7 linked regions of the Nothobranchius furzeri genome follow. The protein of the gene in region 4 purifies or fractionates together with the protein of the main gene of each other region. This does not show direct contact. Links are inferred from orthologs where the notes say so. Each region holds a gene or a part of one and is shown on either strand. Other genes may lie near its edges. The genes, in order: smarcc1a, stat3, atf3, cebpb, smarca2, sp1 and atf2.

What was found.
Region 1: the proteins of cebpb (region 4) and smarcc1a purify together in Homo sapiens (affinity purification with western blotting; 3 studies listed by BioGRID, with this or other methods). This does not show direct contact. The link is inferred for Nothobranchius furzeri from reciprocal best matches to the Homo sapiens genes CEBPB and SMARCC1.
Region 2: the proteins of cebpb (region 4) and stat3 purify together in Homo sapiens (affinity purification with western blotting; 3 studies listed by BioGRID, with this or other methods). This does not show direct contact. The link is inferred for Nothobranchius furzeri from reciprocal best matches to the Homo sapiens genes CEBPB and STAT3.
Region 3: the proteins of cebpb (region 4) and atf3 purify together in Homo sapiens (affinity purification with western blotting; 3 studies listed by BioGRID and IntAct, with this or other methods). This does not show direct contact. The link is inferred for Nothobranchius furzeri from reciprocal best matches to the Homo sapiens genes CEBPB and ATF3.
Region 5: the proteins of cebpb (region 4) and smarca2 purify together in Homo sapiens (affinity purification with western blotting; 5 studies listed by BioGRID and IntAct, with this or other methods). This does not show direct contact. The link is inferred for Nothobranchius furzeri from reciprocal best matches to the Homo sapiens genes CEBPB and SMARCA2.
Region 6: the proteins of cebpb (region 4) and sp1 purify together in Homo sapiens (affinity purification with western blotting; 4 studies listed by BioGRID, with this or other methods). This does not show direct contact. The link is inferred for Nothobranchius furzeri from reciprocal best matches to the Homo sapiens genes CEBPB and SP1.
Region 7: the proteins of cebpb (region 4) and atf2 purify together in Homo sapiens (affinity purification with western blotting; 3 studies listed by BioGRID and IntAct, with this or other methods). This does not show direct contact. The link is inferred for Nothobranchius furzeri from reciprocal best matches to the Homo sapiens genes CEBPB and ATF2.

What each region holds. Positions count from the first base shown.
Region 1 is NC_091745.1:65,006,313-65,010,736, reverse strand, and holds the start of smarcc1a (SWI/SNF complex subunit SMARCC1), read right to left. Parts: upstream 3,080-4,424; 5' UTR 3,010-3,079; coding exon 2,824-3,009; intron 1,682-2,823; coding exon 1,562-1,681; intron 1,482-1,561; coding exon 1,396-1,481; intron 1,157-1,395; coding exon 1,075-1,156; intron 976-1,074; coding exon 883-975; intron 771-882; coding exon 701-770; intron 440-700; coding exon 370-439; intron 147-369; coding exon 71-146; intron 1-70. Other genes in the region: uncharacterized protein si:ch211-215k15.4, read left to right, coding at 3,837-3,955, 4,190-4,260. UniProt on the Homo sapiens protein: Involved in transcriptional activation and repression of select genes by chromatin remodeling (alteration of DNA-nucleosome topology).
Region 2 is NC_091745.1:6,824,664-6,828,374, forward strand, and holds the end of stat3 (signal transducer and activator of transcription 3), read right to left. Parts: intron 3,662-3,711; coding exon 3,602-3,661; intron 2,771-3,601; coding exon 2,664-2,770; intron 1,625-2,663; coding exon 1,584-1,624; 3' UTR 884-1,583; downstream 1-883. UniProt on the Homo sapiens protein: Signal transducer and transcription activator that mediates cellular responses to interleukins, KITLG/SCF, LEP and other growth factors. Once activated, recruits coactivators, such as NCOA1 or MED1, to the promoter region of the target gene.
Region 3 is NC_091742.1:15,053,027-15,057,691, reverse strand, and holds atf3 (cyclic AMP-dependent transcription factor ATF-3), read left to right. Parts: upstream 1-1,484; 5' UTR 1,485-1,588; intron 1,589-2,269; 5' UTR 2,270-2,270; coding exon 2,271-2,516; intron 2,517-2,604; coding exon 2,605-2,712; intron 2,713-2,796; coding exon 2,797-3,096; 3' UTR 3,097-3,773; downstream 3,774-4,665.
Region 4 is NC_091755.1:52,069,521-52,072,914, reverse strand, and holds cebpb (CCAAT/enhancer-binding protein beta), read left to right. Parts: upstream 1-1,513; 5' UTR 1,514-1,677; coding exon 1,678-2,553; 3' UTR 2,554-2,785; downstream 2,786-3,394. UniProt on the Homo sapiens protein: Important transcription factor regulating the expression of genes involved in immune and inflammatory responses. Also plays a significant role in adipogenesis, as well as in the gluconeogenic pathway, liver regeneration, and hematopoiesis.
Region 5 is NC_091750.1:37,837,623-37,841,590, reverse strand, and holds part of smarca2 (probable global transcription activator SNF2L2), read right to left. Parts: intron 2,417-3,968; coding exon 2,036-2,416; intron 127-2,035; coding exon 25-126; intron 1-24. UniProt on the Homo sapiens protein: ATPase involved in transcriptional activation and repression of select genes by chromatin remodeling (alteration of DNA-nucleosome topology).
Region 6 is NC_091743.1:62,035,208-62,039,693, reverse strand, and holds the start of sp1 (transcription factor Sp1), read right to left. Parts: upstream 2,865-4,486; 5' UTR 2,782-2,864; coding exon 2,775-2,781; exon of another isoform or gene 2,720-2,774; intron 2,256-2,719; coding exon 2,179-2,255; intron 778-2,178; coding exon 1-777. UniProt on the Homo sapiens protein: Transcription factor that can activate or repress transcription in response to physiological and pathological stimuli.
Region 7 is NC_091754.1:21,239,777-21,244,433, forward strand, and holds the start of atf2 (cyclic AMP-dependent transcription factor ATF-2), read right to left. Parts: upstream 2,906-4,657; 5' UTR 2,286-2,905; coding exon 2,146-2,285; exon of another isoform or gene 2,133-2,145; intron 2,112-2,132; exon of another isoform or gene 1,944-2,111; intron 1,564-1,943; coding exon 1,491-1,563; intron 1-1,490. Other genes in the region: atp5mc3a (ATP synthase membrane subunit c locus 3a), read right to left, coding at 3,308-3,422, 3,507-3,697, 3,963-4,037. UniProt on the Homo sapiens protein: Transcriptional activator which regulates the transcription of various genes, including those involved in anti-apoptosis, cell growth, and DNA damage response.

The sequences.
Region 1 (4,424 bases), on a different chromosome or scaffold from region 4:
TTTTACGCTTGTGTGTCTATTTATGAAATCTTCAGTGCTAAACAGATCATTTTGGTAGAGGGTGCTCCACCTTCCAGGGTCGGTCAGCACTGGGAGGGTCTTCAACGTCTCCGTCCACCTCACCAGCTGCCACCCAGGTGTCGTAGCTGGTAAAATACATAACAGACACAGGATCAGTAAGGTGGTTAATCTGGGTGATTTCAAAACAAAAAACTTGGCAAAAATGTCTCTGACATTAGATTTAGTGTTTTTTAAATTACTAATAAAAATAGAAACTGAATAACTTTAGAGAAATACTCCTGCAGAGTAAAAACATATCCACAATAAAGAAAAGCATGTCCGAGTCTCTCTGTGATCCTTTCTGATTACCTGTCAGGGGAAAAGCCCCAGTGAACAAGCACCTGCTTGTCTTTCCTCATCACAGGACGTAGCCACTCTTCTGAAAAACACAACCCCCAGCACAACTTCAGCAATTAGCGAAGATTTTATCCGTGCTGTGACAAAAAATTCCCATTTTCAAGAAGATCAGCTAAATAAAGCCTCCATAAACGGAGCTAAATGATCTTTATTCTGATCTAGATGTGTTTGATGGGATAGAGATCACACTATAAATGAGTCAGATCAGCAAGGAACAATAACACCCAAGTTCAAACATACATCATAAAATGTATGCACAAAGTCACAAAAGTTATAAACCAACCTTCTTCCTGCTGCTGAAGAGAAGGATAAATGTGGTGGGTGGCCTTTGACTTATCCTCGGTGGTGGAGCCCTGAAGAGAAACAAAGTTAGATAATTGAAAAGACAAAGACGTTCATGCTAGTCATAATAAAAATACATAAAAAAATAAACTGTTTTTATTTCCTGGTTTGAAGTGAACTCACCTGGTGCCTTTTGACGATGTCTTTGAGCTTACTCGCTTGTTTTTGCTCTATTTCCGAAGACAGGTAGACCAGAGGTCGCGTCAAGCAGTTATTCTACAAAAACACAAACCATCGATAAAACCAGACGTTACCCATGCAGAGGTCAAATATATAGAAGACAAAAAGTCTGTGTTCAGACTGGGATGCTCATACCTGAACCAGGTTCTTCTCAACATTTAAGAACATCTCCACATTTCTGTCCATCCTTGAGGGATTCTGCAAATCAAATCTTCGCCTAAGAGTAGAGTTCATAAAGCAAAACCAAATTAGTTTTAAGACGAACACACAACTGACTAAAAGTTGAATATCCTTTTGATTTCATGCAGTATGAATTTTGTCACATTTTACAAGATGTTCAGTTCGTGGTACTGGTGTAACCAAAGAGTTAAATTCTGCTAAACCACTGGTTCAAAACAATCAAAGAGGTTAAGTTTGGGTCATACCAGTTTTGAAGTTAAAAATAAATCCACTCACCAGCCCTGTTCACTTTTAAACTTATAAACCGAGCCCAAGATGTGACAGAGAGCCCCTCCAGCCTTAAAGTCCAGGAAACACTTGGCCTGAAGAGAGAAGATAAACAAAGAGATTCAAGACACAGACATTATGATAGCTTTTGGTTCTGCAAAGAAGGTGTGCTTACAGGTAGCTTGGTAAGAGCTGGATTGTTGACCCTCCGTCCAAATGCATCCTCTTGGAACTGCAGCAGCTGCACCACCAAGCCTCCCAGTGATTTGCTGGAGGGGGAGTCATTCTGAACATACTGAAAAAAAAACCATAATCATTGAATCATTTACATGCATCACTGACAAAGAAACAGGAAAGCATCTGAAAATGAACACATATATATTACAAGCAGCTACAAAACTTTGGTGACACACAGAAGTCTGCACAGTAACAAATACATGCATGGTCATGGGAATAGGTCTAATTTCGCAATATCTGATATTTTAAACACTATTAACCACAACCTTGCTGCTCATTTAACAAATAAATCTTCAGCTGGGCGACTTGTTGTTGTTTTAACTTTACTAAGTCCTATAAATAATGTGTTCTGGTGTGACATGAAAATATTTACATGCAATCACAGAAATCCTTATTAATCTAAGTACCTACGTTTTTTAAGTCAAAGACACGGTAAGAAAAACATGATTCCAACACAAAAACTGCAAACAAGCAAACTTAAAACAGAATCTAGACTCCATCAAGTTTGCTGTTCAGTTGAACTTTTGCGTTGTTTTTAAATGCGCCTCCATGGGCGTGATGGTGGGTTTGAATAGATACACTCTTTGTTTTGCTGGGCGAGAGAAGCCAGAGGCTGTCTGCCTGATGAGTGTGTTGACAAAACAACACAATGAGGACTCTTTTACACAAAATGCAACAAACACAATTATCTTGTGACTTTCTGAGACCTAAATATAACGTAAAACAGAATGAATGGTGTGTTATGTTTATGTGAATCGTACACACACGGTGCACCGTGACATTTTCGTTAGTTTCTTAGGCCTTTACACCGAATGAGTGGGTCGTATATATTTTTAGCACACAACATAATTTCACATGTGCGTTTTTACTACAATAACGTATCAACAGTTCGACATTCAGTACCTTATTAGAACTAATTTGTTGTGTTTAGCTGACTGAGCGGCTAGCGAGCTAGCTGATGGCAGGCTAACAGAAAAGCAACTTCACTCCAGCTATCATAGTACGTTTGCATTTAATCGTGTCTAAAAGGAGACTGTCTGCACTCTCTTGAGCGAGATTATAAACATGAGTCAACCAGAACAACTACAGCTAAAGTTAGCTTAGTGTACATGAAGGTTATAAACATATCAGCGCTCTATTGTGCCAGCGAGACGCGGGCCTTTATAGAAATCAATGAGGAACACAGCAGCGTTAACCCACCTTCTTGTAGTGCTTCCCGATCCAAAGCCGCACCGTCTCGAGCTGGGACACCGTCTCGGAACTTTCCCAAAATTTCGTGGAAGGACCGCCGTCTTTCTTTCGTCCTACCGCGGTTCCTCCACCGACCAGGCCTGTGGCTGGTCCGCTTGAACCCGTTCCGCCCGCAGAAGTCGCCGCCGTCGCCATTGTGTGTAGCTCACTGCGTTGTCTTTCTCCTCAACGGCATCCCTCGCCGTGCAAGTTTTCAAATGATACTGCGCAGCCGCAAAGTGATCACGAGGTTTATGTGACGCTCATGGGAAATGTAGGCGTACCCCCCCCCCCCCCAGATTCACGTGGCAGGGTTATAGGAATTAACACAAAAAGTAAGGAGCTGATTAGACAAATCTGCCATGTCTGCAGGCTTCTTATCTACTTTTAAACACTATATTCCTTTTATTTTTACTTAATAGAGTATTTACTTAATGACATTAATGGAGCTCTACAGACAAAAGAACATTTTATGGTATTATTGTGAAACTTCAGTTATGTCGTCAACATGTTGCCACCAGATGGCAGCAATACACTTCTCAGTATGTTTCCTTCTGTTGGGCTTTATGTGCACATCATGTTTTGCTTGAATATTTGGTTGGGTGTTATTTTGAATGACTGGGTAAAGAAACAGAATCCCATCACAATCTTCTATTTTACTCTTCATTTTAATAACTAAAATAGGACATTCAGTAGCATGGATAAAAGGTAAGATAATCTTGCTAAAGTGACATGGGTATGTTCAAGCCAAGCCTAATTAAGAAATGTATTTTATACAAATCTATTTTTTATATTACAGAAGGAAACCATGACGTAATAAGTTTGTTCTCTGAGGTTCAATGGCCATAAACAACATGTGGTGCATCATCGCCACCTATAGGTCTGGAGTGTGGACCGGCACTCCTCTCCTGTCTCCCCCGAAGTCAGTAATAAACTGATTGGAATCCCAGTGGCACCTGCTGGTGCTCCACCCCCTCTGATTGATGGAGGAGCAGATAAAGGTGTGTGTGGCATGGTCCATAATAGTTGTTAGAGCTCTGATTGTTGCATGGTCCATAATAGTTGTTAGAGCTCTGATTGTTCTTCTGCTGTCGAGAGTGTGGTAAGAGATCACTTATTTGGTCATGGCTTCCGAAAGTTTTTCTGTATTTCCTGTCAGTGTTATTTCTCACTCCCACGTTTCCCTTATATAAAAGATTGCTTCCTCCTCTTTTTGTAGTTCATTTATTTTCTCACTAAAGTGCTAAGCACGTTTATAGGTCATAATTCTAGCAATTTGCTTTGAACTCTCTTTAACCTTGCAAACTTATTTTTTTACCTTGTATGTTTTAACCAGCATCATGGGATCCACTGTAATGTTGCAGTTGCTGCTGCTCTGCTTTCCATTGTGCTCTGCTTATGCATATGGTAAGGCTGATTTCAATATTTCATTGCTAGTGACACTTTGACAGTAATGCGCTTTAGATGGGATGTCGTTAAATATCTAAAGAGGTTTGCACAAGATGACTTGTTTTAGTTCCTTCATATCCTATAGAGCAGAGGTTTCCAAATTGGGATATGGGGTCCCTACA
Region 2 (3,711 bases), on a different chromosome or scaffold from region 4:
TGGCAAAACGTCCAGAATTTACCTGTTTTATTTAGTATAGTTTCTCTTAAGCCTAGAGTTTCTGTGTTGTTGCTGGTTTCCTTCTAAACAATTGCGTCACCCATGAATTTCCTGTTAAGGGGTGTTTTATTGTTGCTACTCGTCCTCAGCTTGTCAATGGGATGTTATGCCAACCGTAAGTTGTCCTTGTTTTCATTTAAGTCTAAATATAGCTTCCCTCATGTTTTGTTCAGCTCTTTCCTAGTCCCCATCCACAATCACCAAAGGCTTTTAAAAGAGAATAAAAAAGCTGTCATTGAGACACAAAAAACATTTTCATGGCATTTTATTTCACTGACATGGTTCACTTAAGTATGAAATGTAAAGAAAAATATTACAGACTATAAATATTACGGACTAAAGCTGGGAGTTGGTTCCACAGGAGAGGAGCCTGATAACTAAAAGATCTGCCTCCCATCCTAATTTTAGATATTCTGGGAACCACCAGTAAACCTGCAGTCTGAGAGCGAAGTGCTCGGTTAGGAACGTATGGAACAATCAGGTCACTGATGTATGATCGAGCTTGATTATTAAGAGCTTTATATGTGAGAAGGAGGATCTTAAAATCTATTCTGAATTTAACAGGCAGCCAATGTAGGGAAGCTAAGACAGGAGAGATATGATCTCTCTTTTTAATTCTCATCAGAACTCTAGCTGCAGCATTTTGGACAAGCTGAAGACTTTTAACTACATTCTGTGGACTTCCTGAGAGTAATGAATTACAGTAATCCAGTCTGGATGTAATAAATGCATGAACTAGTTTTTCAGCATCACTCCTGGAAAGGATGCTTCTAATCTTAGCAACATTCCGAAGGTGGAAAAAGGAAGTCCGACAAACCATAAATAATTTGATATTTGACATTTTTATATCTGATCATACGAGTTAAAAACAGGCAAAACAAACATCAAAAGGTCTGTTTCAAAAGCCAGTCTCACTCACATGACCTTGTTGCAATTTACAAGTGAAAAACCACACATTTACAGTAACAAAGGCGTAAAACAGGAAGAAAGAGAGCTGACGGGGGAAAAAAATGACCCAATTACCAGAAATACTTCTACTCCCATCTCCTTTTACTGGATGAAGTTTAAAAACCCATTCTGTGTAAACTAAAACCAGAAACATGTTTAAATTCAACCAACAGAGTTTTCCTACTGTGATGTTATTCATTTGGCAGGGACGTTCTGTAAAACAGAAATCAGCCTCTCTCAAGCAGCACATAGCTTATACAAAAAACACCATTTACTTTTTCAAAAAAATAATAATAATAATAATAAAATCACATAACCATTTATTGTCAATTACACACACAGTTTATTCTCAAAAAAATAAAACTTTATTGCATATATGATAAGAGTTGTTAAAAAGAAAAGGAAGAAAGATAGTTAGGGCACAAAGTGAGTCAAACTCTAGAGACAACTGCTGTTTGTTGTTTGGTAAATTTACACAGAAACAAAAGAAACTGTACAGAGAGACCGTGTGAAGACAGGAATAAACGAGCCGCTCAGATCCCAACAAGTGGACAGAAATGGTGGAAGTTTTGTCTTCACATTGGAGAGGCTACATCCATGTTCAAAGTGAGGGAATCTAGGATAAAAACAAGGAAATTATTATTGAGGCATATAGAGTTAAAATTCAAAAGCTGTTTACAGGACCATAGCGTTTGCAAAACGGGACTCGCCGCGGCTCCCTGGGGAGGATTTTGGCATGTATAGCAGCAAAGCTGAAGCTAGAATAAACTGCCATCAGGCACCTCTCCAGCCAAGACGGAAAGGGAGGTCGCTGCCTCCCTTTATTCCCCCCCCGTCTTTTGCGGCAGGGTGGTGGTGGTGGTTGGGGCGCTCCCTCAGTCGCTCCAAAGGGATTAACGGGGCTGACACGTGTTTAGCCATCAGAGACGAGGGGCTTGTGCGGCAATATTACTACGAGGCAAAGCGCATCAGAATCGAGCTTTATCACCTTTCCCCTTTGCTCCTTGCCGCATTCACGAGACCCACAAATTCGGATTTATCACTCTGTAACGACGCGATGGTCTGTCTTATAAAAGAGGCTATAGTAGGATGCACAAATGTATCGTCATCGTGATATCGGCATGTCGCAAAGAACTGGAAAGAACGCAATGAATGGTCAGCTCAAATGTTAGCTACACATGATGCGTTTTGTCAAACGGAAGCATGAAGATTTTGGCAAATCAAATAAAGCTCTTCACCCATTTGGCCAATCGGGTGTGTTCTTTAGGTTAGATGCCCGCCCCTAGGTGGACAGCATTTAATTAAAACACCTGAGTTAGCTTTGTTCTGCTCTTTCTGCCTTTCCCAGGAGTACCTTTTCTTGCTCTTTTTCCCTTTCCTCACATCTTTTGATCACAATTTTTGCTTTTTTTGAATGAAATTTTCTTACAATTTTTAATTTGTTTTTTATTTTTTGTTCTTAAATTAAATATTTATTTATTGAAAGCCGTATCGTCATCGCAGTATTAATGACTTATCACACATAATTCTAATATCGCACAGCCCTAATTCAAAGATGCTTTTTTTTTACTTTAGGTGAGGCTTTTAGTTGTGGTAAGACCAAAGACGGCTTCAGGAGTAAAAATAAGCTTGCGTGTTCCCAGTTAGTGACTCACCCAGATGTCCTTGGTTGGCTTCAGCTTCACTGGGCATCAGGGAGTCGAGCGAGTCCAGGGTGCGCGGTGACATGAGGAACAGGTCACTCGTGTTTCCAGAGTTCGTGCTGTGAATACACACAGAAAACAAACAAAAGGACAAAATGCATAACGCTGCAAAGCAAAGTGTTCACGACAAACACGTCCTGCCACGTTAGACCAGCACTTTCAGTTTAACTATGGTCATTCCAGTGTAACACAAGTGGTCTTGGTCCTGCTCCAACACACAGTTGGATGGTTTTGTGAGTAAATTAGTCATTCTTCATTTATAGGGAAGTGTTAACAAATGGAAGGTGGTTTCAGTCTGTTGTTACATGCAGATAAATTCAAGGTTTGTTAAAAATCTTACGGATAAATGGCGGCGGCACCGTGTTTAAGATGCTCTGTGACTACTGAACAGCACACTGAATGGATGTTAATGGGGGCTTCGCTCCAGCCAGAGCCACGGCAGAGTGCATCGACGGGTCATTTAGCAACCTTTTCTTCCAGCTTGCAAAACACAATTCCTTGATTTTGTTCTCTCTACTTCTGCATAGACTTTTCTCCAGTCGATGTTCATACAGACATATTGGACTGAAGGATTTTCAAAGCTAACTTTATTATCTAAAATCCTCAGTCGCCTCCCTTCAGAAGTCGTTTGTGCTGCTCAACAGATGCACGTGGCTCTAAGCGGAGGATGATGACAAAACATGTGGGCAGCAGGAGCATAAACAGAAACCTGATGGATGACTGGAATGTGCTTTTGAATTAGAAATGGGAGCAGTGGCTGTGAACTGGACACAGAAAACTAAGGTGATGTAGATGCAGTAAATGCACCGTGAGGTCTAAAAAAACATACAAGTGACAGAATGCACACACGGCCCTACATGGCACCAACCCCCCACCCCAAAGGGGCCTACCCAAGGAATCCGCTCCCAAGCGGCTCACTGTCTGGCAAGTCCATGAACACGGAGGGACACCTACGGAGACAGGTCAGGATCTCACTGAGAAAACCTCACAAGCACGCCAT
Region 3 (4,665 bases), on a different chromosome or scaffold from region 4:
TACCAGCAGCTGAAACTGGAAGTTTCTTTATTACTGGGAAAGTTTCAGCAGGAAGGGAGGGAGGGGCGATTGAGGAGCTGGCGAGAAGTGATGAAACGGGTCACAGAAAAGTTTCACTTTGATGTATTTGTAATATATAATGTTATATTATTATTATTATATTGTTATTACAATATAATAAACACAAGACAATTACTAAAATAATAAAACAATGTTGATCACATGACTGACGTCCAGTCCCTAGAGCAGCAGCCCTCTACAACTGGGCCGAGGCTCGGTACCGGTCCATTAAATATTTTTAAAAATTCCAGAAATATTAGTTTATATGCAGTTGTCCACAGGAGCTTTTATTTTGAAAATTAGCAGTATTAAGCCTCCAAATATCCCAGATTTTAATTCCGTTTAATTTTATTTTTCGTAGTTATTTTTGAGATCCTTATAAATCTTTTACAGGAAATGTTCTCTTAAAATAACCAAAATAAATGGTCTGTAAATAAGGTTAAGAGATCCAGAGATAAACATTTAGAAGTTTTTTCCAAATATAAACATATTTTGTACAATCAGACCAGATCTGTGAGGTTTTTCAGGAAGTGATCCGACTTAAATCCCTTTAATCCTGCCGGTAAAACAACGCAACCTGTGGTCTAACGGAGCAATTTTCCCTGTAAGGCAATGGGTTTCCATGTTATTTGCCTGCTGCTTAATGGTTTTATTAAAGGTTTCAATGAAAAAAGCATTTCAACCAGGATCAAACATTTAAAGTTTCAAAATAAAAGCACAAACAGCATCATGGCCATTATTCCCTGAATCATTTCGAACTTCACTGTTTTCAGGTGACCTCTGACCTTTGGAATCTCTCAACGGGCGACTAAACAGGATCAGATTAGTTAGAATTAAGCTACAAAAACACACACACACACACACACACACACACACACACACACACACACACACACAGCTGAGACACACAAAAAAACTTATCTATAAGCTGATCCTTCTTCCTCCCACCATTAGCTTCTCCAGGCCCTGATGGAGGTGTAACCTCAATAAATAAAACCCATCCGGTGTCATTCAGCCAGAGCGAATCACTTCACGTCCTAATGTGGAATGTTGGGATTGGGAAACTGTGTCTGTGTCAGATCAGTGAGAGCACTCGGGAAGACACGGCGCTCAGAACTTTTAATCATCTGTGATTTCTGCTGCTTTCTAGGAACTTACTCAGAGGAAGTGTGTGTGTGTGGGGGGGGGTGGGGGGTGGGGGGGGGGGTGTTTGGTCTAAAGGAAGGATGGAGAGATGAACTGAAGGAGAGGAAGAGGAGGAGGGGTTGTGTTGTAGCAGATCAGCCCGTGGTTGCCTGGTTGCATCATCACACAATCACATTTATAAATAGAATTACGTCATCCAGCTCAGAGCTGCTCCTCTTGGCTCCTCCCGCCACGTCACAGGCCCCGCCCCCAGCCCGGATCATAAAAGCCGGTGATGCAACCGATTCGGGTCAAACGCAACTCAGAGCAGCGGCGACGAGCGAGGCTCCTGCAGGCGTTCACTTCCTCAACCCGTCCGGACCGTCCGATCCAGAACCAACAGGTAGGCGGGGGGTTCCGGAGGGAGGGGGTGTTTCGGGGGAACGGGGATGTCCCGGTGAGGAGCGGAGCGCTTCCCGGTGGGCTGAATGAAACCATCAGGATTTGATTTATTTAAGAAATAAACGGAAGTTTTTATTGATTCAACTTATTAGATTTGAACTTTGACCGAACTTGTTTGAACTTTTAAAGTTGATTCAAACAGTTTATAGTAAACAAAACGCATAAAATGACTTTAAGATGTTATAATGCAGATTAACTGTAAACGTGAGCCGTTTTCTTATGAAGATGAAATAATTCCTTGATGTAATGGTTCAGATTTAAGTGTTGAGAAAAACACAAAAGAGTCGAACTTAATAAATAAATAGAGCTGCACGTGCAGCTTTCACGATGTTGCTCCTGCTGAGATTCAAACCTGATCATAAATCCTTCTGCTGTGTTTGGGTCAACGGTAACTCCTGCTTTATTCTATTAAGTTCAGGGCTCCTCTAGGTTAGATGTTTGGCTGTCAGCAGAGCTGTTCAGGAACAGCTGATCTTCTCATTAGTTGAGTTTGTTCCTGAGGAGTTACTCAGCCGAAAGAGAGCAGGAGCTGCTCCTTCAGCAGCTTTAGGAGCTTCTTGGATTATTTGATGTGAAACTTGTTGCATATTTGATTTAGTCATTGTTTTTTATTTTTAATTAGAATGATGCTGCAGCATCCTGGTCCTTCTCTGGCCGACATCAGCTGCTCTGCTCTGGTGCCCTGCCTGTCCCCACCGGGGACGCTCACCCTGGACGACTTCACTAATTTCACACCCATCGTGAAGGAGGAGCTGCGCCTGGCCATCCAGACCAAGCGTCTGTCCAACGGGCTGAGCGCCGACGTCAGCTCAGACGGCTCCAGCTCGGACCGGGCCTACGAGCGGCCCTCCGCCAGGCTCAAGAGAGAGGTGAGACGGAGCGAACTCTGAGGTTACCTGGTCTGTTTGTCAGACGGGGATCAGGAGAAGTAACGGCGTCTGTCTCTTTGGCTTTTAGTTGACTCATGACGAACACGAGAGGAGGAAGAGGAGGAGAGAAAGAAACAAGATTGCTGCAGCAAAGTGTCGCAACAAGAAGAAAGAGAAGACGGAAGGTCTGCAGAAGGTAAGAGACTTTTGTTCCCTTTCACTCTGAAACCCAGCTCATGAAGAACAACATTAACTCCTCCATTGTCCCTGTCCTCCTCAGGAGTCGGAGAAGCTGGAGAGTGTCAACGCGGATCTTAAAGCTCAGATCGAGGAGCTGAAGCAGCAGAAGCAGCAGCTGGTCTACATGCTGAACCTGCACCGGCCCACCTGCATCGTCCGGGCCCAGAACGGCCAAACGCCCGAAGACGAGAGGAAGCTTTTCATCCAGCACATCCAGGAGAGCACCTTACAGCTCCACAGCCTCACCTCCTCCTCCTCCACCTCCTCCTCGTTATCTACCGCCACAGTAGCACCTCTGGACGGAGGCGTCCTGACGCTTGACGACATCCAGTGTCTATGATGGTGATGCTGTGAGACTTTCTCCACCTGCGCCAAGAACGAGGAGACGTGGATCAGCTGCTGGAAGCAGCGTACAAAGCCACGTCTCCGTCCTTCACCTCCCAGCTGCTGGGACGTCCTGGACAGAGGACAGACGCCGACGCACTGAAACCAAACAAAAACCCAAACTTCACTGATGTTTTCAATAGTTAGTGGTTTGATTTTTGTCCCGGGGTGATTTTAAGGTGACTGATGCACACAAACCGTTCTGTGGAAAGAAGAGTAGCTGCAGGCCGGTTGAGTTTAACCTGCTGTAGAAAACCTATTTATTAAGGTAGGATGTGATGTTAGCGACCCTCTGAAGCTGCTGCTGCTAACCCCTCAGGACACAGACGTAGATGTTTAACTAACGGGAGTGTTTCTAGTAATAACGGGAATGATTCCGTGCTGCAGCCATGGCTGCAGCCTGTAAACATGACAGGATAATCGTATATGCAGATGATGAACTTCTGTTCTGTTCTCCTGCAGGACTGATTGTATTATTAATCCATCATTTTATATCTGTGTTGAAAAGAAGCTAAAGTGTTATTTCTACTTAATTCTGTTCCCTTTTTGAGCTTCTCAGACCAAAACCGCAATTATTAGTTAAATAAGCATATTTATTAAACATCACATTAAATGTCTCTGCTGAGTCTGTGATCCTGCGCCGTCTCATTTGTCCTTTTGGGGGTTTGGATGGGATTTGTTGTGTTTAGCAGGTTTCTGCTGATGAGGATGGTTTATGTTGTCTGTAGTTTGTGATTTTAGCCAAAGGCCACTTTGTTAAAGAGACGCAGGCGTCTGGTCGTGGTGTGTGTGTCGTTTAGCATCCTGATGCTCGTTAGACACCTCATTTGTGCTTTATTGTGCCTGATTTTGTCACTGAAAGTTGTTTTTGTAGCTGCTCCCAGCCTAAATGAATAAAATGTCAAATATCAGGAACAACTGCACTGCTGCTGCGCACTTCCTGTTGTCACCTGTTGAGCTTTGTTTTTGATACTTTTGATAATTAAAACATGTATTGTCAGTCACACTGTATGGTTTGACTTTTTCTCTTAAAATGGAATGCAGCCAGTACAGAATTCATTAAAAAAGTAAAATAGCACAAAAGGCTAGTTTTAATCTGCATGTGAAACCTGGCGTAGCACCAACAACCTTTCTGTGGTTTTGTTTGTGATGGAAACAAAAGGTCACACTGAAGGAAACGTTTAGTCTAAGTCTCTAAAACGAGTGATCAGCTGTGGCTGCTGCTGTACAAGTGCAGCTGAGAAGTTGCATCATCCCGCATAAATGATGAGACACATTCCTGATAAATGAGTCGGCTTGTTTCTCTCCTGAGGGAAAAGTTTTATGACACAGAGAAACAGAAACAACTCTGGACACGTCGGAGGTTTAACTGAACTTGGATCCACCTGCTCTCACGAAACAACATCTCCATAAAGCTCTTTCCCCTGGTCCATCACAAAACATCCCACTTGTGCTGACACTCCCTAATTTGCACAGCTGTCTGTAGGATTAAGGCCCCGCCCACTCCACCACAGGACTAACAGAG
Region 4 (3,394 bases):
ATGTGAAGGGCACAGGGCGCCAGTTGTAAATATGCCAATCTTAGTGTTCTCTGATGTCAAACATCCTGCACGGTGTTGGGCTGTAAGTACAACCCCTGCCTGTGGATGTTGGGCCTTTGTACCGCTCTCATGGAGTCTGTTTCTGACCAGAGGTCATTCTGCAGGGCTCTGGCAGTGCTTCTCCTGTTCCTCCTTACACAAAGGTGGAGGTAGTGGTCCTGCTGCTGGGTTGTTGCCCTCCCTGGAGCCACCTCCATGCTCTGGACACTACGCTGACAGACTCAGTAAACTTTCTTGCCACAGCTCGCATTGTTGTACCATCCTGGATGAGCTGCACTACCTGAGACACTTGTGTGGGTTGCAGACTCCATCTCATGCTACTACTAGAGTGAAAGCATTCAAAAGTGACCAAAACATCATCCATCATCCAGAAAGCAGAGGAACTGAGAAGTAGTCTGTGGTCACCACCTGCAGAACCATTCGTTTTTTGTTTGCCTATAAATTCCACCTGTTGTCTTTTCTGTTTGCACAACAGCAGTGAAACTGCTTCTCAGTCACTGTCACTGGAGTTACATCGTGTTGTTTAAGTGTTCCTTTTATTATTGTTGAGCAGTGAACTTATATATAGATTTACATATCTGGATTTTTACACATATTTAAAATGTTAATACTTAGTAATTGTTGCATTGGTGATTTTGTAAACAAAAGTCTTTCGTTGAGTTTTATCAAGTTTATCAGATTCTAGCTTCTACTGCAGCCAGAATTAAGGACTTGAGGAGAGCTTGTGTCAGATCTCATTTTTTGTCGAGGCAGCAGATTTTTCAAGACCCACAAAGCAATCACAGACATCTTCTAGGGCACATATAAGTCTTTCGCCTTAAACCAGACAGACTGGCTTCCTCTGACGCCCACCCTGGCCTTTGTACAGATTTAGACATGCATCATGAGGAGGTCCACTGCACTTTAATTGGCACGTATATATGCTGGAAGTTGTGGGGCACCAGATTTCTAAATGAAATGAGTCTGTGGCTGCTTTGAACATCAGTGATGTTGTTACTATAAACTTTAAAAAGATAAACACGTTGGGTTTTTTTCCAGACGCGTGCAGCAGGGGGCGCGCTTGCATGACGGTGTAAACTGGAATTTTATTTTTTACTTTTTATTTGACTTCTGATATCAGCTCCCATTCATCAGCCAAAGCTGCTTTTCTCCTTTTTGTTCTGCTGCTAGAATTTTATTATAGCCTTCATCTGGTGCGCACGTACATAAAAACTAAAGCAAGTTTTATTTTGTTGTTCGGTGTTTTATTGTTGTTGTTTTGTTTTGTTTGTTTGTTTGTTTGTTTCATCGTGACAAAATACTTTAAATAGCATGCGGACGGGAAAGAATCTTCTCCGCACGGTACAGGTCGGTTCTGCTCTGCGTGACACACCTGCCAAGTTAAGCCCCGCCCCCACCCCTAATAAAACCCCTCCTGAGACAGGAAGATCTGTCAATTCCTCCCAATCCAAGAGCTCCCGCGTAGTAGGAGCTGCGTGTTTCTACGGGTAGTGACCGAGGAGGTTTAAACTCTCTGCATTCCGACGCATTTCACAACTGAGGCAGGAAAACCAGAACCAGCCAGGGCGTCCCACCTCAGCCCGACGTGCTCCTGCACTCCAGCGGGTGTTGAGATCCATGGAAGTGGCCGGCTTGTACGAGGAGGGCAGCTTTGCTATCCACGGTAGAGACGGCTTCATCGGACCCATAGGCGGAGGCTCTTACTGGAGGCTGGGCGACTCGATGACGGAGCTGGGTCTGGGGGAGCGGGAGAGAGCCATAGACTTCAGCGTTTACCTGGACTCCGCTTTGCACTGCCCGCAGCTGGCGGCGCACACGCAGCAGCAGGGGGACGCCTTCTCTGATTTCCTCGGGGAGAACAAGATCAAAAGACTCGCAGCTTTCCAGAACTATAAGAATTACTCGCTGCTGAGCGAGCTGGAGGCGAGCCAGTGCGAGGGTGCGAGGGAGCCCAGGGATCCGTACGCGCTGGGTTACCCCGAGCTGCAGGAGACCCGTGTGGACAGCGTTCTCAGCCCGGATCTGGTGGCCAGCCGTTACCGAGCCGCCGCTTCCACCGAGAGAGAAGACAGTCCGGAAGACGCAAAGATGGAGAACGGGTCATCTGGGTTTGACATGAGGTCCTACCTTCATTACCAATCCACCAGCGGAAGTATTGGAAACATCTCCACTGCGTCCTCGACCTGCTCCAGCCCGCCTGGCACACCTGCCCCGTCAGGTAAAAGCAGGTCACCGTCGCACGGTGGAAAGTCGTCTGGCGGGAAGGCGAAGAAGCGCCTGGACAAGGACAGTGAAGAGTACCGGCTGAGGAGGGAGAGGAACAACCTGGCAGTGAGGAAGAGCAGGGACAAAGCCAAGATGCGCAACTTGGAGACGCAACACAAAGTGCTGGAACTGGCTGCGGAGAACGATCGTCTACAGAAACGCGTGGAGCAGCTGTCCAGAGAGCTGGCCACCCTGCGCAACCTGCTCTCCGCCACCGGACAATGTTAGAACTCCCCACCTCCATCCCCCGGGGATACCGCACGGATCTCCCCCCGGATCCCCGCGCTGCTTGCCTGACAGACTTAACGGCGCAAGAGGCGACCCACTGTGCTGAAAACGGTACTCTGTAAACAGACCGCCAGTTTACATGGACACTTTGAATGAGACTGAACAAGTGGCTGCATGGATTGCGCAACCATTACGCGACTTTTCACTTGTCCTCATAGCTTTATTCTCAGATGTAATTTTAGTGTATGCAGTATTTCTGTGCAGGTTTTACATTACCAGTGAATTTCTACATTTTGTGTACACTGTATCTGCAGCAATGGCTGTCAGGGGAAGAGTTGTGCTGCAGTGAAATGATGCAACTCTTTGTAATAGTATTGGCAATGAATGAAATAGTCTAATTATTTAATATTAAAAGGTGAAATGCTTTAATTGTTCTTGATATTTTATTGAATTAAAGAGATTTATACTTTGTTTAAACTATTTCACTTCCCTTTTCTTCTTTTTTTGTCCCTTTCACCATGGATCGTGCATCGTTCACCGTCATCATAGACTGTGTAATACCATGTTTTGGGGTTACGACACACTGCAGATAAGAAATCACCTCGATGATAAGCAGAATGTGCACATTTAAATGTCAGGCTATGGTGAAATCAAACAAAGCACCATGAGATTTTTCTCTTTGGAACAGCTAATTTAGAAAATAGTCACATGGGCCCACACAAAACATCACTCATTAAAAAAATTTTTTATTGAGATTGTGCATTAAAGTTGCCTGATCAACTCACACACTTAATCATAAAATAAAATAGGCAAAGACTTTGTTTCAAAATGATTAATCAAA
Region 5 (3,968 bases), on a different chromosome or scaffold from region 4:
GTGAAGGAATCCCAGCGGTCTTACCGTCGCTCCACGGTTTGGGTCCGCTACTCTGACTGAGGCCTTGCATGGGTGGTGCTGGAAGGGGGCTGGACTGAGGACCACCCAAAGGTGCCATTGGCATGCCTGTCAATGAAATAAGCAGTCAGAGGTGGTTTAACGGCTTTTCTCTGATCTGTAAACATTCTTTTACATCCATGTAATTAAACGTGTTTTAGAAAACAACACGTCTCACTTTGCCTTAGAAATCTGGACCAGGAAACGGGACCGCATCAGTCCGGTTCTGGCCTCCCTGTGCTGGCTTCCGGTCTGCTATCGTTCTCGCTTCAAACACCTCGTCTTTGTTTTCAGTTTCTTCCAGGGTGGTGCCCCCCCCCCCCCCCCCCCCCCCCAATCTAGCCACGCTCCTGAACAGACATTCCCCGTCACACGCTCCTCTGACCACGGCCTGCTCGCTGTCCCTCGTTCTAGGTGTCGGACTCGTGGGAACCGGGCTTTCTCAGTCCTAGCCCCGTCACTCTGGAACCAGCTGCCACCCTCAGTTAGGCTGTCCCCCTCTCTGCGGTGGCCTGAAAACCCAGCTCTTCTGCTTGGCGTTCCCTGAACGTGTTTGAGGTCGGCCCTAGGGCTGCTCAATTAATCGAATTTTAATCACGATTACGATCTGAGTTTTGAACGATTATAAAAAACAAAACAAGCCGATTATTTGCTCCTCCCGCTTGCGATGCCCTGAGTTGCAAATGAAGCGCTCCTCCCACAGTGTTGCCAACAGTGACTTTGACGCTATTTCTAGCAGCTTTTCAGACCCCCTTCTTGACTTTTTAACTTAAAAGTACCTAGCGAACACCTCAGAAACATCTCTGGTAACCCTTAGCTACTTTCTGGATAACTGTCGTCGACATTTCCTGCAGGTTAGCTAAACACTCCGCCTGCGCTCCGGACCGTTCTTCAGGACATTAGGAAAGGGAATGATGTAGTGATGGGTCAGTCACTAAAGACAGCTCTCGGAGTCGGCTCCTTGTTAGATTAACCAGAGTGAGTGACACACACCGCACCTGCGGACTCCTGAGCCACTAAAAACAGCTAAATGTGAGCGTGTGGTGCGCTAAACGCACGTGCAGCTTGCCCCGATTGCTGAGAGACTGGGTTGTGGGGTGCAGCTGTGGTTGAGACAATTATTACATTAACTGATGGATGACTTGTAAATAAATAGTTTATAAATAAGGTAGAAATAAGTTCCTCACGCTGATAATTAATAACTAATCTCTCTGAGGACACGGTGCTAGTGCACTCTCCTACAGCACCTTGACATGACTCAATACATGTTATGCAACATTTTGTGAACATCAATTTATTTGTGTTTATTTGTTATGAATGCCACTGTATAATTCTTGCTGTCAGTATTTGCAAGATAATGGTATTTGGTTCTGTACTGGTTAGACCTAAATGAGTTAAACCAAGGTCTATAGCCCTTAGGTCATAAACTATGAGCTATAAGTATATTGGTCTTTTTATATTCAGGAGTTATTTTAGTGATCATTTGTTTCTTATTTTTGTCCTGATTGCGCCCTGAGAAATTTTATGACTGAATAAAAACAAATAAAATCAACATAAATTGAAAAATCGTCCTAAATAATCGTGATTATTATTTTTGCCATAATCGAGCAGCCCTAGTCGGCCCTCTTCTATGTTGATTTCGTTTCCCTGTTTTTACTGTTTCTACTTGAATGTTTGACCCTCTTTGCACTATTTGACCCCCTTTTATTATGCATTCATTCATTGTGACTTACAGTTCTTATGTACTGCGTACAGCGCCTTGGCCTCCCCGACAGGGACGGCGCTTTATAAATAAAGCTTTGAATTGAATTGAATAAAGTTACGCAGCAGTTTCATAACAACACAATGGCTGTCTGTTTGGTCCAGTCTGAGCCGCCATCATAGTTTTCTGACCAAAATTACACCAAATGGTCATTTAGCGCAAATCAAAAAGTGCTAGATTTCAGATTTAGGTGGTAAAGTGAGGAGGGCTGACTACCTGGAGGTCTGTACAGGCTGCCACCAGGAGCCTGCTGCTGCTGCTGCTGCGGCTGTTGCTGTTGCATTGTGGGTAGGCTCCTTTTGCCTTGAACAGCCAGCTGGAGGTTATCTGGCAGCGGTTGTCCCCGGGCCAGAATCTTGTAGGCGAGAATCTGAGCTCTGAGCTGCTGAAGCTGCACGGGACTGAAGGCAGAAGGTCCTCGTCCTTGTTGTCCCATAGCAGACATGCTGGGCATGCCGGCCTGAGGATCCAAGGACATCATAGGTGCAGACTGGGAGGGAGGCATGTGGGGTGGTGTGGGTCCACCTCCGCTTCCTGACATGGGACTAGAAGCGTGCTCGTGGATTCCCATCGGGGAAGGATGTGGAGACATGTATCCTAAACCCAGAAGGATGCATGTTTAATGTTTAACGTTTACACTCCTGCCCAGAAACACCAGCTCACTCACTTAGGCTACGTTCACACTGCAGACAAAAGCTCATCAAACCCGCTTTTTTTCCCCACATCTGGTTTTTTCGTGACAGTCTGAACGCACAGATCCGATTTTTTCAAATGCGATCCGTGTCACTTGGTTATGTGGTACTGATTTTGACACAAATCTGATGTTTTTGAAAGCGACTAAAGTCTGAACGGTCATCCGTCTCAGCCGAGGTGAGCGTCGTGTGGACGTTCCTGAGGAGAAGCACTGACAGGAGGGTTCTGGAGTCTGTCTCCTGTTTTAGGTTTAAGAATTAAACACAGGAGAGCCCGAGAACGGGAGCTGGAGGTGCTGCTGGAGCGGTCTCCGTCTCCGGGGGGGGCTCTGTAAATGAATCAACACCAGAACATTTTAGGTGAATTCAGAAAAGACTGATTCAGGAAGACGTAGGGATGGGTACCGAATTCGGTACTTTTTAAGGTACCGACCGAATTCCATAGTACCGACCGAGCACCGATTCACGTCATTTGAAACGGTGCCTCGTTTCGGTACCCGTCCTTCATAACGAGAACTTGCCTAGACAGCTGCACATGCGCAAGAGCGTTATGTCGTCGGTCGCTGCGAGCCAGTTGTAAACAGCAGCATGGTAGAAAGAACGCACGCTAAAGCTTGGGTCCACTTCACTAAATGTGATGGGTAACTGGGTGATGATGAAACCAGCGACAACGATCTAAGTGAGACATCCTCATCTTAATCTGCTCCGGTAGGTAAATAAAATGTTTAAGATAACGTTAGCTTGATATGTTAGCTTCCGTTCCACTAATGGTGCGTTCGCTTTCTCCTCGGAACTCCGAATTCTTGACTAGAAGAACATGAACGCGCTCTAAAATTTGGCTTCACTTTACTAAATGCGACGGGTGATTGGGTGAAGATGAAACCAGTGACAACGATCTAAGTGTGAGGCATCGTCGTTTTAATCTGCTCCAGCAGCTAAATAAACTGTTTAAGATAACGTTAGCTTGATATGTTAGCTTCCATTGCCACCGTTGTTATCAGCTAATGGTGCGTTCGCTTTCTCCTCGGAAATTCTAGCTTCCCAGTAGGAAAAATCAAATGAAAAAAAGACGGCAAAAGGAATGAAGATACACAGTAAATTTAGTTCACAGTAAAGATGTTTGCTTCAGTTTAATTATCAGCTTATAAAACTACAAGGACGATGTTAAAATACAAACAGTTGTATGTTATTTATCGTGATATTTATCAAATATTGTTATATATTGAGAAAAATAGATATTTAATTATAAAAGAGAATTAAAATAATAAACACTCAAAAGTATCGAAAATTGGTACCGTTAAGTACCGGTATCGATTCGTAGGTACCGGGAATTAGGACCGGATCGATTCAAATGTCAAAGGTACCCATCCCTAGGAAGACAGCGGGGGAAAAGGGTAAACTGGTTTACAGTTTTTTAAACAGTTTCCAGCCCAAAACAGGAGAACGAACAGGCGTGA
Region 6 (4,486 bases), on a different chromosome or scaffold from region 4:
GGTCATGTAACTGGTCCCACTATTAGAAGATGCTGGCTGTGGAGATTGCTGTACGTGCTGGTTCCCACCCGTTTCTCCACTACCATTTGCATCCCCTCCAGTAGAACCTGTACTGACAGGCACCAAAGTGATGTTTCCATTCAAGGATACTGGCATGTTTGCCAGAAACTGGGGCTGATTTTGTAAAACACCATTGCCTAAGATGTTCTGAATGGGGATGGCTCCCTGAAGGACACTGGGCATGGTTATGATGTTTCCAGCTGCACCAGCTCTATTGGATGCAGCAATAATCTGCTGGCCATTTGGAGAGGACACTATCTGAAACTGTTGTCCTTGTCCTGCTGCAGCAGGTTCCTGTTGAGCATGTGCAAAGTGCAGCGGTTGGCCATCTACTGTCTGAAATTGGGGTATTACTTGGTACTGTATATTGGGCATCACACCTGATATGGTGGTTAGAACCTGCTGACCTGGCACAGATGGGGCCTGAGCTACTACATACTGCTGTGGCTGCTGACCCTGAGTACTTGATGGTGACAGCACCTGTCTGCTTTTGCCATTGTCTCCTGTCATCACCCCTGAGGAATCAGTGGTGATTGTGTTAGAGCCGGAGGATGCCTGAACGCTTAGAGGAACGACCTGCCAGCCGTTGGCACTGGAGGTGAAGACACCCGGGTTTATTTCCAGCTGTTGGTCTGCGGTAGAATCGTTTTCTCCGGGGGTGTCGATTCGACTGCACGTGGCTGCCAGCAAGGCCAAAGGAGACGGCTGCTGTGAGTCCTATAATCAGTATAAATGAAGATCAAACAGGAAAATGTAAACAGACAATAATAACAGAGCATGCTATCTTACATCTATAGAGACAATTGAGTGCCAGAAATTCTGATGTGAACATTTGTTGCTGCACAAGTTTTTAGCAGACTTTCCTGAACAAAATGGATGAATTTCATATTTCAAACCAATTTTGACAGTTACTGTGATACTCTTTAGCTTTTTCTACAATGTTTGGCCTTTGCTGGGATGGCTCCAGCATACACATCAGCCTTGCTTTCTAAACATGTTCTGCCAAGATCTCGTCGCTCAGCCGATCCCAGTCTCTTAGTAGTCTCGAGGATTTAGACTGGGGGGTGACCATGCCTTCTCTTGTTTTTTTTTCTATAGACTTTTGAACTCTGGAGATTAAACATGTTCCCTCCTTGTAATGCTTCAAAGCTGGATGGTTTTTGTATCACTTTTCATTTTCCGTCTGTTAGTGGCTTATTTTTGTAACTGTATATTATTACCGTTTAGTGTGCTTTAAATTTTAGGTTTCCTTTGTACTGGTTTTATGTTTGTATTTGATTTACTTACTTTTCCATTCTCTACTTTTACCTTTTTATGTGCGTCATGCAATTTTGTGTTTTGCCTTGATTGGCAGCATGAAGGTGCTTTATAAATGAATGAATAAAACTACTCATGTAAAATCACATCCCCCAAAGCCCCATGAACTCTTTTGTCCACGCATATTCAAACTGGAGAACAATAAAAGCAACCCTAATTATTATAAACAAGATGTTTACAGCAACACAAATAAAGTGGAACATAAATTATATCTTAAACCGTGCAAGGGGATCACATGTTCTAGCATATTGTATATTGGACCTGTTAAAAAATAGGAAGAAAGGCATGATGTTTCAAGTTAAAACAAATTAGGTTCCTTATTCTAAAAGAAATCTAGCTTGTTTAGTGAAAACCATAATATCACTGCGTTTAAGTCTAGCGAGTTTCATTGAAGCGCTTGTAGGGGAGTGGGCTTCACAGAGAAAACGCATTGGGTGAGGGGACATGGGAGGGAGGGACCACATTTTCCGGAGCAGCGGCGGGCTCGGCTTCCCCTCCCCCCAAGCCCACCCATCTCCCTCCCACACTTGATTTTCGCCCTATAAACTAGCACACTTCACTAGCCACCCCCTCCAAGGAGAGCCAAATGGGCCGAGCGAAACATACAAGAAGTGCCCGGGTTAGATGGGAACACCCCGTGTGGGCGAAATTTACCTGCCCAGTTCCCACCCCGATGACATGTGCTCTGGTGAGAAAATCAACAACCCGCTCAGGTCCAGACACACACGCACAGACGAACACAACAAATTCAACAAGTGGCACACACGATGAGAACGAAATGTCGCTAAGTGGTTAACTTACTTGTGAGTTTGTGTTTCGCTTCTGGCTGAATCCTCCGCCGCTCTCCACAGCGGCCATTTCACCCTGCTGCTGCTGATCTGCGGAAGAACACTTGTAAGACTTCTTGGAACATAATAGATCAGTTATACACGAAAACAAAAATCAAACAAAGAAAAACGACTACATGTTTCACAACAAGTCAACTTAAGAATGCTTTGTGGAAGATTCGGGTTGGAAAACATTTCAAGCCCTCACAAGGCCAGTTAGCTTGTGAGCTAACGTGAACTCAGCACAAGTAATAAACAATAAACTAGTTAAGCATTAATTAAGTGCACCAACGCAGTTTCCACCGTTCTGATAAAACATTACCGCTATTTTTTGTTTGAGGAATACCATAACCTACAATTCTAAAGAGGGGACAGCGTCGTTTTCTAAAGAACCACTAACAAGTAGCGTTAAGTAACAATAAACTAACGTCACTTTAAAACTGCTTCAGACTAGACAACAATGCAGCGCAAAATCCACCACTTAATACAAATAACACGATGTTGCTACGTCATACCCTTGAGTTATAAGTACGCACGTAGTATGCCTCCAAGTTTTAAAAGTCCACTTACTGCTCATAATTAGAAGACGGGAGGAGTTTCTGCTCTTTTTTCAGCTTGACAACTTTTCACAACTTCACACAAACTTAAGTTCCCCCTCCCTTTGAAGTAGGCGTATGAGTGCGTTCGATTTATGTAAACTAGATTCGAGATGGTGCAATGAACTTCTCAAACCTATTTCAAGTTAGACTACTTTTTAACTAGAGATTATAAAAATATAATTTGTGAAACTTAAGTGAGCCAGTAGATGACATTTTGAAAGAATGCTGGGTTTTCTTGGCGCTTAAATCAAAGTAAAACCGACTCCTGAACTTATCATAGACATGTACAAGTTACAAGGCAGAAATGAAACGGTAGAGTGAGTACCGCCACACATGCTGTAAATAATTCAATTCAAACCGATTTAAACTCGGAATATTTAAGATTTTTTTTTTCTTTTTCGTTTGGTAGTACGCGTACCGTACTGTGCCGAAAAAAAAACAAGCGCTCCTCAATCAGCAATACGGGTGATGGAATAATCCATTGTCCAATAGAATTGTTTGTCTCGCCTAAAGAGCACCAGTTGACTAATCTAATTTCACCATAGTTGGAGGGGTGGGCGGGATTAAGCACGGTAGGTTGTGCTCTTGAGCATGATTGACGTCGGGTTATTTGTTTTCCGCTAAAACGACGTCACTATAGTTTAGTCCACGTAAATACTGATAATTCGCTTAGCCCCGTCTTGAAGTGGAGTCAAATTTCAACAGTGAAACAACGCCAAACGTTGTTAATGTCTCTGGCCACAGAGGTGGGAAGTAAGGAGGGCTGAACGAGTGCTTGAGTCTTGCCTCCGTGGCCGTTGGCCACTCCCTTGTGGCTTTGTGAGTCGGTAAACAGTAATGTGGCGGGAGGAGTCAGAAAGGGTGGAGAAGAACCCTCATAACACTCACCACACTGGCTACTATGCTGGGCTGGGAGTGGAAGATGGTTGGACTGGGAGGGCTTTTATCTCTGCTAGGGGCTGTCATTGAAATAGCACATGTGTCCATGTATAAACATGTCAGAGGGTGGAGTCCATACATCCATACCACCCTGGCCTGTCTGTTTACACACACACACACACACACACACACACACACACACAATTGAATTTGATTGATTTAGTCAGGTTCAATATTGTGTTCAAATTGCTATGTTTAATCCTGTTATGTAGAACAATTAAGTGCCTTCTGGTTTCTATGCTTATCACAGGATTTATCTATGTTATCACTTCACAAGTACTCTAAAGAAATGCTGTTGGGTAAAAAGTTAGCACAAAAAATGTGCTAAAATCAGGAAATATCAAATAAACAGGATATAACCGGGGCAGTGCTAGTGGAAGGTGTCCAAGGTGTGCCAGTGCCACCCTGACAGCAATCATGGACCTCGTGCCGCAGAGCCTTAACATTAAGTTCTGCTTATTTGAACAAAAGCATGTCAAAGCATTTATCTGGTATAGTAGATGCTTATACAAATATTTTCTTGTTGTTATACCAAAATAATAACCCAGATAACACATTTTGTGCAAAAAAGTCATACTCTGAGACATATTGGAAAGGTGTATACAAAGTGATTGCCATTGTAGATAATAAACGCTGAAAAACTGAAAGACAATGTTTGGAGTGTTTTCTTACAACAGTGCCTCTGTAGCAGCAGCTGGCCACAGCCTGGACCCTCCTTATGATAGTCTAGACTCTAGAGCAGGG
Region 7 (4,657 bases), on a different chromosome or scaffold from region 4:
GCAGCCCTCAGCTGACCAGGAAAAGCACTTAAAAGTTTAGTGGCATGAGTAGGTTCACTAGGTGGAGCTCTCTACTTGCTTTACGGCAGTTAGCGTTTACTCCGTCACTGTAGCTCATATAAAGGCTAGCAATTAGATTTTTCAATTTGCCGACCATTAGGGTTCAGCGATGGGATGAATTATTCGACCATCGGCGACGGGCTGAGCTGTTATGGTTGTTTTTATAAGAAGCAATTTGTTCATTTATTTGTTTGACCAAGCGTAAGTTTGTTAATGACAGATATTTTACACGTTACGCACAGAGAACATCGCGGAGATAAAAAAAAGAAAAGATCTCCATCAACAAAACATCTGAGCATTATCTTTCACCTTCTCCGCCTCTCGCTGCTGACAGTGTCCGCAAGCGGCACGCTGAAGAGGAGCTGGGAGAGCGTCTGTGACGCACTCGACATTGTGCGCAAGAGCGCACTGTCAAGTGGAAGCCCTTCTATCTTTCATAGTCAGGTAGACTTCTGGTTATTTTATTTGGAGAAATGTTTCCTCATTTTAAAACTGTGGCTTAAGTAGTGCTCGTTATTCAGCACCCGCTTCAAGTGTGTCAGCATAGTGAGGATTAATCCAGAACAACATTTAAACAGCCACGAGTCTGAGGCAAACGTCCAGAACCTCATAACCTCTTCAGCAAGCATCATGCAGATATTGGATTACGCACAAGCTGCAGGTGACCAGTTCAGGTTTACGTGGAGCAGAAGGAATGTGCGTTTGGGGCTGCAGCAAGTGAAATGTTCCTAATTTAAGTGAAATTATTTATTTGTATTATATGTTACTGGGGCACTCAGATCAGCTTGTTTGGATTACATTTTAATTAAGAATGAATGGAAATTGAATGATTATTATTTAAAAAATGAAATTTGTCTGCATACACTCCATTCTGCAATCACACATGGGTAAAAATAAAAGGTTATAGGTGATGATGTTACACATGACTATTACCAGAGTTATTTTACTATATATTCTATTCACACTATTGTTTGGGTTATGAGGGTATGTTTTCCATGTAAACAAACTGATGTTCACATTTCACTTTAACATTTCTTTAGTAAAAGAAATAGCTTCTGGAGATACACACAACCACACACACCTGCTCTCAAAATTCACCCTCTGATGAACGACAAAAAGCTATAAGTTTAATATAAACCTAACAACATGGCTGCATGTTCAAATGATCATACATATACTGCTGTGATGGCTATTTCAGTGCCCACGATCATTTTAACAATTTTGTCAGATTTTGAGGATATAAGAATGGAAGTTTTTTTTTTTTGACAAGTGTTTTGGTAAAGCTTTTATGCATTGAGTCATGAATCAATTAGATAAAACTCTTACATCAAACTTAAGTCATATTTTGCGAAATAACCTTGAACAATGATGCTTCAAAGAGTCTTTTATCAGTTTAATTTCAAAGAAGTTCTCAAAATCGGATTGCTTACCTGTCCACACCCAGGAGCAGTGCATTGGAAGGGTTTGTCATCACTCATATTAAGGAGTTCCTGTAACTTCTCCCTAAAATAATACAAAAAACACTTTTAACCTGAACATCTGCATTATATATATATATATATATTTTTTTTTAATGAACTGATGATCTATGAAGATGCAGAGCAACTCTTCCTATAATAAATATTTCTACTCCGATTCAGAGATGATAATATGTAAACACATGCTGGTTTAGTTATGATAAAAGTTAAAACTCCAGCTGGGGTCAGGTGAACGTTTTGGACAAAGACCATCGATAAGGGGCGGTTTCTGTAGTTGTTTACACCTCGGTGCTCTTATAAAAAACGTTTAGATACACTGCTCCAGACAAAGCACGGAGATATGTTTTAAGAGAACCGCATGTCTATTTTTACATATATCACAAAACAACTAAAGAATATATTTACAGCTAAAAGGATGAGCTACAATCCAGTCGCTTCCATGAATTAGCCTGAGCCTTGCGTTAACATAACCGTCGCCATATTTGAACACGCACGTAACGCTGTAAACAAAAGAGCTGTCAACTACTATTTCGGCTCCTGTTTTGTTACACCAAACAGAAACAGCTCACATTGCCACAAATTAGGTATATTTACCAAAGATTCGTACACAGTCGCTAGCGGTTTGAGTTGACACCTACCCCTTAGCCACAACCCTTGATTTCCAAAATCCCACGTTTTTTTCCCCAAGTATCGCGATAACAGATATTCGTTAAATGCCACATCCACAAACGATTGGGGATAATTCATTGGAGTCAAAAAAAGTATGAGAAAATAAATTACGGACCAATGTTATAAACTATTCTAACATAACGTAACTCAATTGTTTTTAGAGGAAAACAAAAACTAATATAGTCTTAAAGCGCTTAGCACACATAATTTGCATATTCAAGCAGACTGCCTTCTTCACACAAATGTAAACTTTAAAAAAATCAAATGCTAGGAGTGATGTATAAGCTCTTACAATTTAGATGTATTTAATGTTACAGAAACGCTTCAATTTGTTTGTAGCAATGATTGCTAGGCAATCCACCCACTTGAGATCCCTTGTGATTCTGTACCAGGCAGTCATCAACTTACCAGCTGCAGACAGATCTGTTTGAAGAATAAAGGCAGACATTCTTTAAAGTGATTCTTTTGAAGTCAGTGTTTAAATTGCACCTGTCTAAAGGTCAATTTAAAATATTCATGTGCCACTCATCTTTAACCCAACATAATTCTATTCTGTCAAAAAAATGAAAGGAAGCCTTTAAGTTTTGCATACAATGATAAAATTTAAAAGATCTGACAGCCAAAGCTTTCATTTAAAGTATTGGCCAATTACTTAATTCTTCCTGTGGGGAAAAAAAACAAACATTTAACACAAGTAAATCATTTGGATTTATTCAGTGCCATTACCATGCCGTTAGATCTCACTTGCTGCACAATTACACACCTATTTAACTGCAGCTTAATGACAAAATAATTCACGTGGACCCCAAAAAGCTCAGAAAACAAGGCTGATTCACTGAAAAGATGACATTCATGAAAGTCAACCCCTTCCTGTTGTGTTGGGTGATGTTTTGGACACAAGCTTCTGCAATCTTGAATAGTCAAAAACATGTATTTTATTCACGTAAGATGTTACATTTGTACAATACATGTTTTGCTGTTTTTGACAGTGTCTGAGAGACTTGAAAAATGTACATTTCTATGACACCAACAAGGAACAATTTTGGTAGCCACAATAAAATATGTAGTCACATCTGTAATTAAAGTGTTGTGGGGCAGTTTTACATAGCAAACAGGATAAGGAAAGCAACCATCAAACAGAAGAGTCCCATAGCTTCAGACAGGGCAAATCCCAGGATGGCATAGGAGAAGAGCTGCTGCTTCAGTGATGGGTTCCTGAGAACAAGAAATTGTTGGTGAATCCAAACAGAAATTGTAAAATTGTTTTAACAATAAATATTTGAAATAATTCAAACAAACCTGGCATAACCAATGATGAGACTACCGAACACAGTCCCAATTCCAGCACCGGACCCAGCGACTCCAACCGTGGCAGCTCCAGCACCAATGAACTTGGCAGCAGTGTCAATGTCCCTGCTGATGGCGCTGGTCTGGAAGCCTCTCAGTGTGACCTGAGTGAGGGGACTTGGTGGCATCACAGAAACAGAGCTCTGCAGCAAAAAAAAAAAAAAAAAAAAAAAAAAAAAGAAGAATAAAAACTTTAACATCACAAGAACCAAATGTGACAATTAGAAACTAAATCTTTGAATACATAAGAGCTAGTCCTCAGACAAAGTTATTACAAGTTACTAAGGCTTTCTAGTTAAAACCCTGTCCATTAGGGCTTCAGACACAGTGCCGATAAAATATAAACTTCAATTGCAATGCTGTGGTTTCAAAAAAAATAATGAGGGTGTGGAAAACATGCTTTCATACCTCTGTTTTAGCTTCAGGCCTGGACAGCACAGAAGCTGACAGGGGTCTGTAAAGAGCCCGGGAACCAGCACGGACCTGCATTAACAATGGACACAAGATTAAACACTTAGCATTGCTTGGATCAAGCTTCACATAGAAGGGTGTGTATTTTAAGTGCCACTCAAGAACACTTTAAGCACACACCGACATAGAAAACTGTGTAAATTAGTCAGAAATTGCACAATATTGATAGATGGGCCGCATGCTGATTGCAGGGTCTCATACTCTTATGTCTGCCACTGGTTAACATGACCTTGGAAGCAGTCAACACTGGACAGCAGATTTTGAACATTTTGAACAATGTCCAAACGGAGAAAGTGAGTTTGTGCATCCCATTATGTCAATAAGAAGTAAGCTGTGTGAGCTATCGGCTAACACTGCGTTTCAATGACCTTAGCTAATAACATTGTAGATGTCTGCTATAACGTGAAACTGTGCCACTGCGGCATTTCACTCAATCAGCAGAAACACTGTCTGCAAACCACAAAATCAGCTCATCAATGTGTTTGACCTGGTTAATTTAGTCCTTTAGCATTAGCTACAGGCTAACTTGCAGGCCTACTCTGCAAGTACCCTTGCTAGGCTATAGTCAAGTTCAACCGGAGGCCCACCGGTATTTTTAAGGATAACGAGGCATATCATTATGCAGAAATAAA